2 linked regions of the Tribolium castaneum genome follow. The protein of the gene in region 1 interacts with the protein of each later gene in a biochemical or structural test. Links are inferred from orthologs where the notes say so. Each region holds a gene or a part of one and is shown on either strand. Other genes may lie near its edges.

What was found.
Region 2: of the proteins of Cdk9 (region 1) and Fcp1, one has a biochemical effect on the other in vitro, tested with the Homo sapiens proteins (3 studies listed by BioGRID). The link is inferred for Tribolium castaneum from reciprocal best matches to the Homo sapiens genes CDK9 and CTDP1.

What each region holds. Positions count from the first base shown.
Region 1 is NC_087394.1:32,585,407-32,589,636, reverse strand, and holds Cdk9 (cyclin-dependent kinase 9), read right to left. Parts: upstream 2,654-4,230; 5' UTR 2,428-2,653; coding exon 2,321-2,427; intron 2,251-2,320; coding exon 2,166-2,250; intron 2,119-2,165; coding exon 1,742-2,118; intron 1,685-1,741; coding exon 1,417-1,684; intron 1,218-1,416; coding exon 924-1,217; 3' UTR 746-923; downstream 1-745. UniProt on the Homo sapiens protein: Protein kinase involved in the regulation of transcription.
Region 2 is NC_087396.1:10,632,690-10,636,988, reverse strand, and holds the start of Fcp1 (RNA polymerase II subunit A C-terminal domain phosphatase), read right to left. Parts: upstream 2,899-4,299; 5' UTR 2,859-2,898; coding exon 2,641-2,858; intron 2,590-2,640; coding exon 2,436-2,589; intron 2,383-2,435; coding exon 2,012-2,382; intron 1,531-2,011; coding exon 369-1,530; intron 1-368. Other genes in the region: Rab2 (ras-related protein Rab-2), read right to left, coding at 3,502-3,600, 3,826-4,006, 4,063-4,299. UniProt on the Homo sapiens protein: Processively dephosphorylates 'Ser-2' and 'Ser-5' of the heptad repeats YSPTSPS in the C-terminal domain of the largest RNA polymerase II subunit. This promotes the activity of RNA polymerase II.

The sequences.
Region 1 (4,230 bases):
ATTAGATTATCGTAACATATACCTCACTCTGTGCTTTTCTACATTGACGGTTATCCTTAATGCTTGTAATTCAGATCGTTCAAATTTGGTGACAAGAATTGTTATTTATTGTGTATATACAGAATGTCTTAGATAAATTCAATTTAATGTTAAGTTAATTAAGTGAAGGAGGGGTTAAATTTAACCGCGCCCGAAAATGTAAATATGCCATGATTGATTAATTTCTCGTTTGTTAAGTTTGACGTCCTCCGCAATGTTTTACAATTAAATGTGATTTAATGTGTAATTTGTTGGGCATTCTGTGATATTTGCCTTCAAAATTTTACGGTTTCGTAATCAGTATTCTGAAAGGTCATTGTTATGAGTGGTTCATTTTATTTACCAGTTCTTTTTGCCAAAACTTTCGGTAAGCTCAACTAAATTAGCAACAGAGTTACAATGTTATTGCGTTAATTTAGAACAATTTGAAATGGGTAGGAAACTACATCTAATTAAATGAAGAGAAGACAATGATTATTGAAGTGCCTTGAATGAAGGTTTCTCCTTCAAGAATGTTATTTACCTATGTAGAGGATCTATGAAACAAGCTAACAGATATGTACAGATACATATATATTATTTTACAGATACATGTACAGTGTGCCATGTTGTTGAATTGTAAGGCCGGATGGCAGTGCAGTCAAACCAATAAAATATATAATATGTACTAACAAGTCATTTCATTCCACCCCAAAAAAACACCAAGCGTTTTTACACAGTTTATTCGCTATGTTAACTAAGTAACATCATATTAAACGTTACAAAAAGATAATAAAAAGTAACATCAAATTTTAGGGTTCCCGAAAAACCTTCAGTTATGTTTCCACTTTAGAAACAATTTCCACATTACTTGAAAATAACCACAATGTCCGTGTTTCTTACAACTAAAAAACCCTATCTTGGTATCCGCTGTCTTGCACAGCGGAAGTTGTCGGTCTTGGCAACGAATGATGCCTCATTTGTGTCGGTCTTCTCGGCGGAGCCAAATATTCAAACATGCTTTGAGTGTGAGTGGCTAACATTTTGCTCAAATCGCATGGCATTGGGTCAGTCCAGAAAAAGTCATGGTTGAGGGCCGTATCAGCATCGGCCCGTTTGGCGGGGTCGAGGACCAACAGCTTATCGAGTAAATCACAAGCGTACGGGTCTTTCATGTAGTGCTTCAGCCTCTCTTTCACCTGGAGAAGATTAAAAAATAATAATAATAAAAATAAAATCTGTGATCTTGTTTAATCACATTTTTTCCGAATTTATATGTAAATAATTACGGTTTATAAACTACAGTTCAGAACGTGGTGGAAACATTACCTCGTACAGAGGATTAAATAAATATTCTAGGCTTATAATTGAAGCGATCTTTGTTCCTACGGGACTTACTTTTCGCTTTTGGACGGGGAGTTCCATCTTCTTGTACAACTCCAGATTCTCAACTCCTGGCCAGACCTGGGGGCAGATGGTGCCACAAAGTTGAGAAATCAGAGTGAGCTGTTGTTGCTCGCTGTTGCCCTGCATTATGGGGGACCTTGTCCACATTTCGGCCATAATACAGCCAGCCCCCCACAAATCAACTGGGGGGCCGTAGTTTCTTTCACCTAACAACAGTTCTGGAGGCCTATACCATAACGTAACGACACGATTTGTAAATCTGAAATAGTAGATTACAAACTAGTGACCAATTTTTTAATTTACTGTTTGAACTCACCTATTTGGCAGTCCATTCTTATTGGTACTAAATGCACGAGCTAGGCCAAAATCGGCCAATTTTAAAACACCATTCTTTGTAATTAACACATTGGCGGCTTTCATATCTCTATGAAGAATTTTGTTGCTGTGTATGTAATACAGACCGTTAAATAATTGTTGCACTACTTTTTTTATCTCTCCTAGACTAAACTTAACGTGGACGTTTGACAACAACCCGGCCAAGTCGTGTTCACAAAAATCGAACACTAAATAAAACGTTGACTTGTATCTGTTGCGGTATGCAGCCTTAGTTTGGCATATTTCTATAAGATTAACAACGTTTTCGTGTTTCAATAGTTGCAAAATTCGTATTTCGCGCAAAGCTGTGATTGGAAACTAGAATACAAGTTTGAAAGCTTTGCAAAAAATTAATGACCCCTTACGCCCTCTTTTTCATTGTCCATTAACACTTTTTTCATTGCTACGAATTTCTTAGGATTACTTTTGTCCCTCGCCTTGAACACTTCACTACAATCGGAGAAATACAACAAATGGGGCACAATATGTGACCCCAAGTAACCCCAACTAAGTCACTTACCCGAACGTTCCTTGGCCAATTTTCGCAATTTTCTCGTATTTTTCCGATTCATCACAGAACGGGAAATGGAAATTTTCAATGTATTTCTCTTTATCTCGCATATTCATGATTGCAAAATCGCCTCTTGTCTAACGTTGCACAAGCTTTAGACAAGGCAATATTTAGCACAGTTTTTCGTCAATTAAGAAGAAACGTGTGAAGGTTTAAAACACCACATTTAAAGTACTTAAATGCATTTCCGCTGCTTTTTTCTGAATCACAATTGCACTAAAAACACACACAATCAAAACATAACCTCCAGGAATGACATATGACAATAGACAATGTCACGGAAAAAAAGCGCGGTTGGGTGAGCCTGCTCGCGAATGGTTTTCAGCTCGAAAAATACAGTATTTTATCGAAATTAAAAAAAAATCTACCAAATTGTAACACCAATTGATAACTTTTAGCATTTTGGCACTGCTACCAAAATGTTCTAACTACAAACGCAGTAAACCAACAAATTTATTTATATAATTATTTATTTAAAGAAAATAGGAAATGATAATATCATTATCATTCGTAAAAATTAAGACTTTAGTAATCAATATTAACACTTTTGCGTTCTTAATCATATTTTTTGTTGTGCCTTTTGTTGATTTAAGAAGATTACAGTTTTCTGTTTACGAATAGTACTTAATTTCATTTTGTGAAGAGGTCGCTGATATTCCATGGTCTTGAAGTGTCTTGATGGTACTCTGGGTTCGGAAAAAAGGGAAAAAAGGTACCATGACGTTGTGTTTTGTGTTTGAAACACTATTTTAAGTAAGAGCTTTTCAGATTTTTGAGAACTCTCCGCCGTTATATTCAAGTGTCGTCGAATTGTGAAAATTAATATTTTTCCTTGTCCTTCCTGTTTTCATCTTATTTCCTTCGTTTCCTTCTTTGGAAGAAGCATCTTCGCGTGTAATTTCATCGCAGGAGCAAAAGGTAAGAAGGAATTCCTAAATTAACTTTTTTGAAGACAAGCTAATTTTGGTCTGTGTATTCATTTTTGATACAAAGTGATCCAGAATCAATGTTTCAGTTGGTAGCAGGTTTTGAAGGAGTTGCAACCCTGTAACCGCCAATCGGACAAAAATTGGCTTGACTAATAATATGTTTAAAATGCCTAACAAGACTGTTAAATTGTTGTTAACTGGAAGGGCACCTCAACGGTACTACTTAAAAATAAATAGAATTTCTAACTGATATAAATCTTAAAGAAAGAGAATAATATTGTTTCTCTCCGAAGGATCGATTTATAATTCAATATGAAGGTTTTAATGGTTGAATAATTAATCAGGGAGCTTGCAATTAGCGATCATTCATATTTTGTGCTTATTGGTTTATAATTATTTATCAGTTGATATTATTCTTGAGTTTAATTTTTTTCTGAAAGCTTCTTGTGAGACAGAAACTTGAAGTAAGCTGCCACTTGAATTATACCAAATAAAACATTTCATTTTTCTTAAAATAACTACGTATCCAAATCCTCCTTGCGGCGTGCTGGGGGAATGAAAACCAACAGCTTAATGTTAAACATTTTATTTCTTTGTCTGAATGTGTCAAATACAGTGATATAATATTGTTAGATTAAATCCACATCCACATTTATAGTTAAGTAAAAAATATTACATACGAAACAATAACCGAAAATATTATGTTTAAAATGAATCGTAATAATTACACACATAGTTCGATGATTATACTATTGTACAACCCTACAACAAACATCTATACATTTGAAATTAGCGTAAATTCCTCCGCAGTTGGCTCTGCGGTGGTATTTACATTCTTTACGTAATGAGGGTGGTCAGTTGAAGGGATGAGAAGGATCAGTTTTGTGATTTTATTGGCAGTGGGCCGTAGAGGGTTAATGGTTGAGAGTG
Region 2 (4,299 bases), on another chromosome or scaffold:
ACCAACCATTTTTTAATTACAATTTTGAACAAATATTCATAATTACATTGCCCCCAACCGCAAAAGGCAAGAGTACCAAAAAAAAAAAACGTTTGTAATTATAAAACAAAATGTCAAACTGAATAAAACTAATTGCCGACTTTCGACCAGTTTGTCAGATAAAGAAGATCCTAACTGAAGTTGGTTGAAAACAAATTCGTCGCCCTACATTATTTTTAATTGACGATTTTTTATTAAATAAAAGTCTTGGTTGCTGCAAATTTAATTAAGATTTTATGGACAACGCTTTTTTTCTATAGCTGGTACCCTAGTGTCCGGTTTAGGAACACAATAAACGTATTCCCCTTTCACCTAATTTTTAACCTTACCTCCTTATCCATATCCGCTATATCTGCGCTGGAAAACGACATGAGAGGATTAATCGTGTCCATAAACCTTCCACTGGGTGTCCTTTTTCGCATAGCGGGCGTATTGTGCTCTGGATAACTTATAATATGCTCTGGACTGCTGCAATGAGGCGGTGGATGCCGGTTTTTTGAGCCTTTGCTATTCAAAGCAAAAATCTTCTCGTCTACGTGCTCCCACCGTTCTGCACAACACCACAGCCAATCGGGTGTAACAATCTTCAAGTTCTTCTTTCTTCTGCCGGCGTTCACCTTAGCAGTGCCTGGCCTAACAGCCACCAAATGTGTCGTGTCGTCCTCCAGCTCTTGCGTAACTTCAGCACCCAAACTCTTGGCGATTTGGTACGCTTTTGATTGTTCTAATTTGATGTGAGTTGGCACCAACCCGCTAAAAACCAGCTTGTAGCCCTGTAGCACCTGACTTCGCACCCCGGGAATCACCTTCTTCAAGTCGGGAACCTCTCCCGATTCCATTTTATCATAAGCGTCATAGAAAGCTTGATGAATACGTTTTAGTATATCTTCTAGATAGGAGAGATAGTCATCGGGGTCTTCAACTTCTACTAAATGATTGTTTATTTCGATTGCGTTTTTTGTTTCCGGAGGGGTTTCAGTTTTGGTGTCCCCTTCCGTTTGCGTTTTACTTTCTTCAGGTGGAGGCTTTTCGTCATTAGTTACTGCTTCACCATTCACACCTTTAGATTCAACATTTTCAATTTTTTGTTCGCTACTGTCGTCACCGTTTTTATTTTCATCTACTTTATTATTTCCTTCACTATCTTCGGTATTTTCTTTACTCTCGTTTTTTGTACTCTCAGATTCATTTGAAACCTGATTCTCAACTTTACTTTCCTCGACATTTTCACCATTTTTCTCACTGTCATTTTCTGTCGCTTTACTATCGTTATTCTGGATTTGTTCGTCTTTTTTCTGGTCTTTAATTTTTGTTAAATCAACTCCCTTGTTATCATTTTCATGTTTGTCTAAACCAGGGGGTGCGTTTATGTCGCCGGTGTGTTGAAAAAAATGGTACGGCTTGACATGAATCAAATTTGCGGCGTTCGACCACACGTCCTCTCTGTCGTCAATAATACACACCATGTTGTCCCCGCAAGGAAATAGAGCCCTAAATATAAAAAATTATGTAACACAGCGTATCAAAAAATATAAAAAAATATTTTCGCGAACTTTTAGCACAATTGTTGTTTTAAATATCACGAAGATAGTCTAAGACTAGAAAATTAGATCGAAACTGTTACTTTAGCTTGCTTCTCTCAGTTTAACAAGTTGGTTTTAAATTTTTAATCCGATATATTTATTTATTGTGCAAGTTCGTCTTAAAGTACCTTCGATTTGAGAGTAATTAAGGCAAAAATTACTTTTAATTTTGCTTTCTTGTCCGAATTTATCAAGTTTTTCATCCTGGTCTCATTTTTGCCTTTTTTTTTTCGAAAGCTAGACCTTCTACACTCAAATATGGTAGAGTGAACATATGCAAAGTGATTCAAAAACACTTGAAGAGAAAAACTATTTACTTATGATTTTGAAAGACTCAAAAAACAGGAATAACGGAATGATTTTTCAGATTTTTCTTTTCAAATACGTACTTTAAGTTCGCCTTTTTGCTAGTTGGGTCAAAACACTCATCCCGCGAGAGAATACGATTTGAGAAAAACTTCTGGTCCCTGTCCAGAACCGCAGCAATCATATGTGCGTAATTCCTTGCGCCAAAGGTGCAAATATGCAGCTCGTAAAACGGGTAAATATTGTTCAAAAACTGATGGGTTCCGGGCCTCAACCTTGTGAAGTACCAAGGTGAATTGGGCCCGTATAACTGAAAGCGATAGATATCCTTGATGTTCGGCTGAATGTGGTCATTGGTTGTGTGGATCAAGGTCTGATCCAAGTCCACAAGCAGGACAAGTTTCCTGTCTCTAATAAGCCGATCAACGTCCGCTTTGCCGAGTTTCTGTGCAAGCTGCAACAATGCAAGTCAAACCCCCGCAGCGGCATTTTATATAACGCAACCACCTCTTCGCTGACTTTCAAGTCAGGTATGGCATGCACCATGGGCACGGAAGCCGCCACACTGACGTCGTTTTTCCTCAAATCCGTGCCGCATTCTGCGCACATGTCGTTCATCACCGTCGGATGCGTGCATTCTTTCAATTCGCACAAAGTCTCGCTGAAAATTCGAGCGTGAGCTTTCGCGCGCCTTTTCAAAACTGTTGCTTACCCTGGCTTGACAATGGCGCCTTCCTGCGCCACAATCTTAAAAATTGTTCCGGCCTGTGTTACCTTCAACTTGCGTTGTTCCACCTTGGAAGCCCCGTCAAAATCATACAGAAGGATTACTCTTCCGATCGAGACAGTGTTCCCTTCGCTCACTTTCCATTTTAAAATTTTTATAGGTTTTGTTTGTTGCTGTGATATGCACATAGTTTTTTCCGCCATCTTGCACGGAAACGACTTCACTCATGAACGCAGAACGCGGCCTGATTGGACGACGCGTGCACTTCCGGGTGCCATTACTCACGCGCCCGTTTCAAATTTTGGGTAAAACAAACACAAACTGGCAATACAACTTATATTTGATTATATTACATGAAGCTTACATAAAAAATTTGACGTTTTACAATACAAATTTATTTAATGAGATAAACACTACATTTCTTAATTAAGTATAATAGTCGCAATAAAACACATAACACTATTATCACCAATAACAAAAATAAAGTTGGTTTAAAGTAAGATGTAATGCTTCTGAAACGGCTTTTCGGTTGGTACTCTATAAAATATGAACTCAAAACAATAAATATGTGACCTGTATTGGACTAACTATACCACACTCTTAAAATAATCACAATAATAATCCTTTCATTACATAAATTAGTGGGGGCCAATATCACCATATGTATCAAAATATTTGAAAAGTTTTGTCTCTAAAGGTTGTTGAACGATGGGGTAAAGTGCAACTTGCTAATTTGGAAGATATCAGATCATTAATTTATGTAATAAACCTGTGCAGTCACTTTCAATTCTTTAATAAGGGTTTCTCTCTTACACATAATGTAACCCTCAAGACAGACAAGTCATCTTAACAGCAACTCGAACCCTGCGAACCCCCGGCGCCGCCTGCACCAGGAAGCGATGGATTTGTGGGGGAATGTTGGGGGCCAATCTTGATTCCATTTGCCTGCACAATTTCAACAACAAAATTTAAAACACAATAGTTGTGAATTTGAGTTGGCAGCACTATACGTGTGACGTCTCAAGCTGCCAACTTAATTTCAAAGTCAGAAGAAAGTATCACCAAAAATGGGGTAATGAACTTGCTAATGTATAAAATTATTGATTTCTAAAGTTTGTGTAACCTTTAGAAAATGCCAATTAGCTTAACAGAGCAGAACCGCTGATTTACCTCATTGTTAATGTCAAAGACTCCCTCTTGTATTTTCTCATAGATCTCTTTTGCTGTGTTTATAAACGCTTCTTCAACGTTGGCGGCCGTTTTTGCTGAAGTTTCCATAAAGACTAGTCCGTGTTCTCTGGCAAAAGCTTCTCCTTCTTCCTTTTTCACTTCTCTCCTACTCTCTAGATCACTGGAAGGGTTTAGTTAACACTTTTGAAAAAAAAAAAAATAAAACGGGATGAACACCTTTTGTTTCCAATCAACATGATGACCATATTTGAGTTGGAATGCTGGCGGGCATCATCAAGCCATGTAGTCAAATGGTTGAAAGTCTCCCTCCTCGTAATGTCATAAACTAAAAGAGCGCCAGCAGCCCCCCGATAGTACGACCGCGTTATAGATCTAAAAGCCTCCTGTCCGGCAGTGTCCCAAATTTGTAATTTGATTTGTTTGCCATCAATGGTGATCATTCGAGCGCCAAAC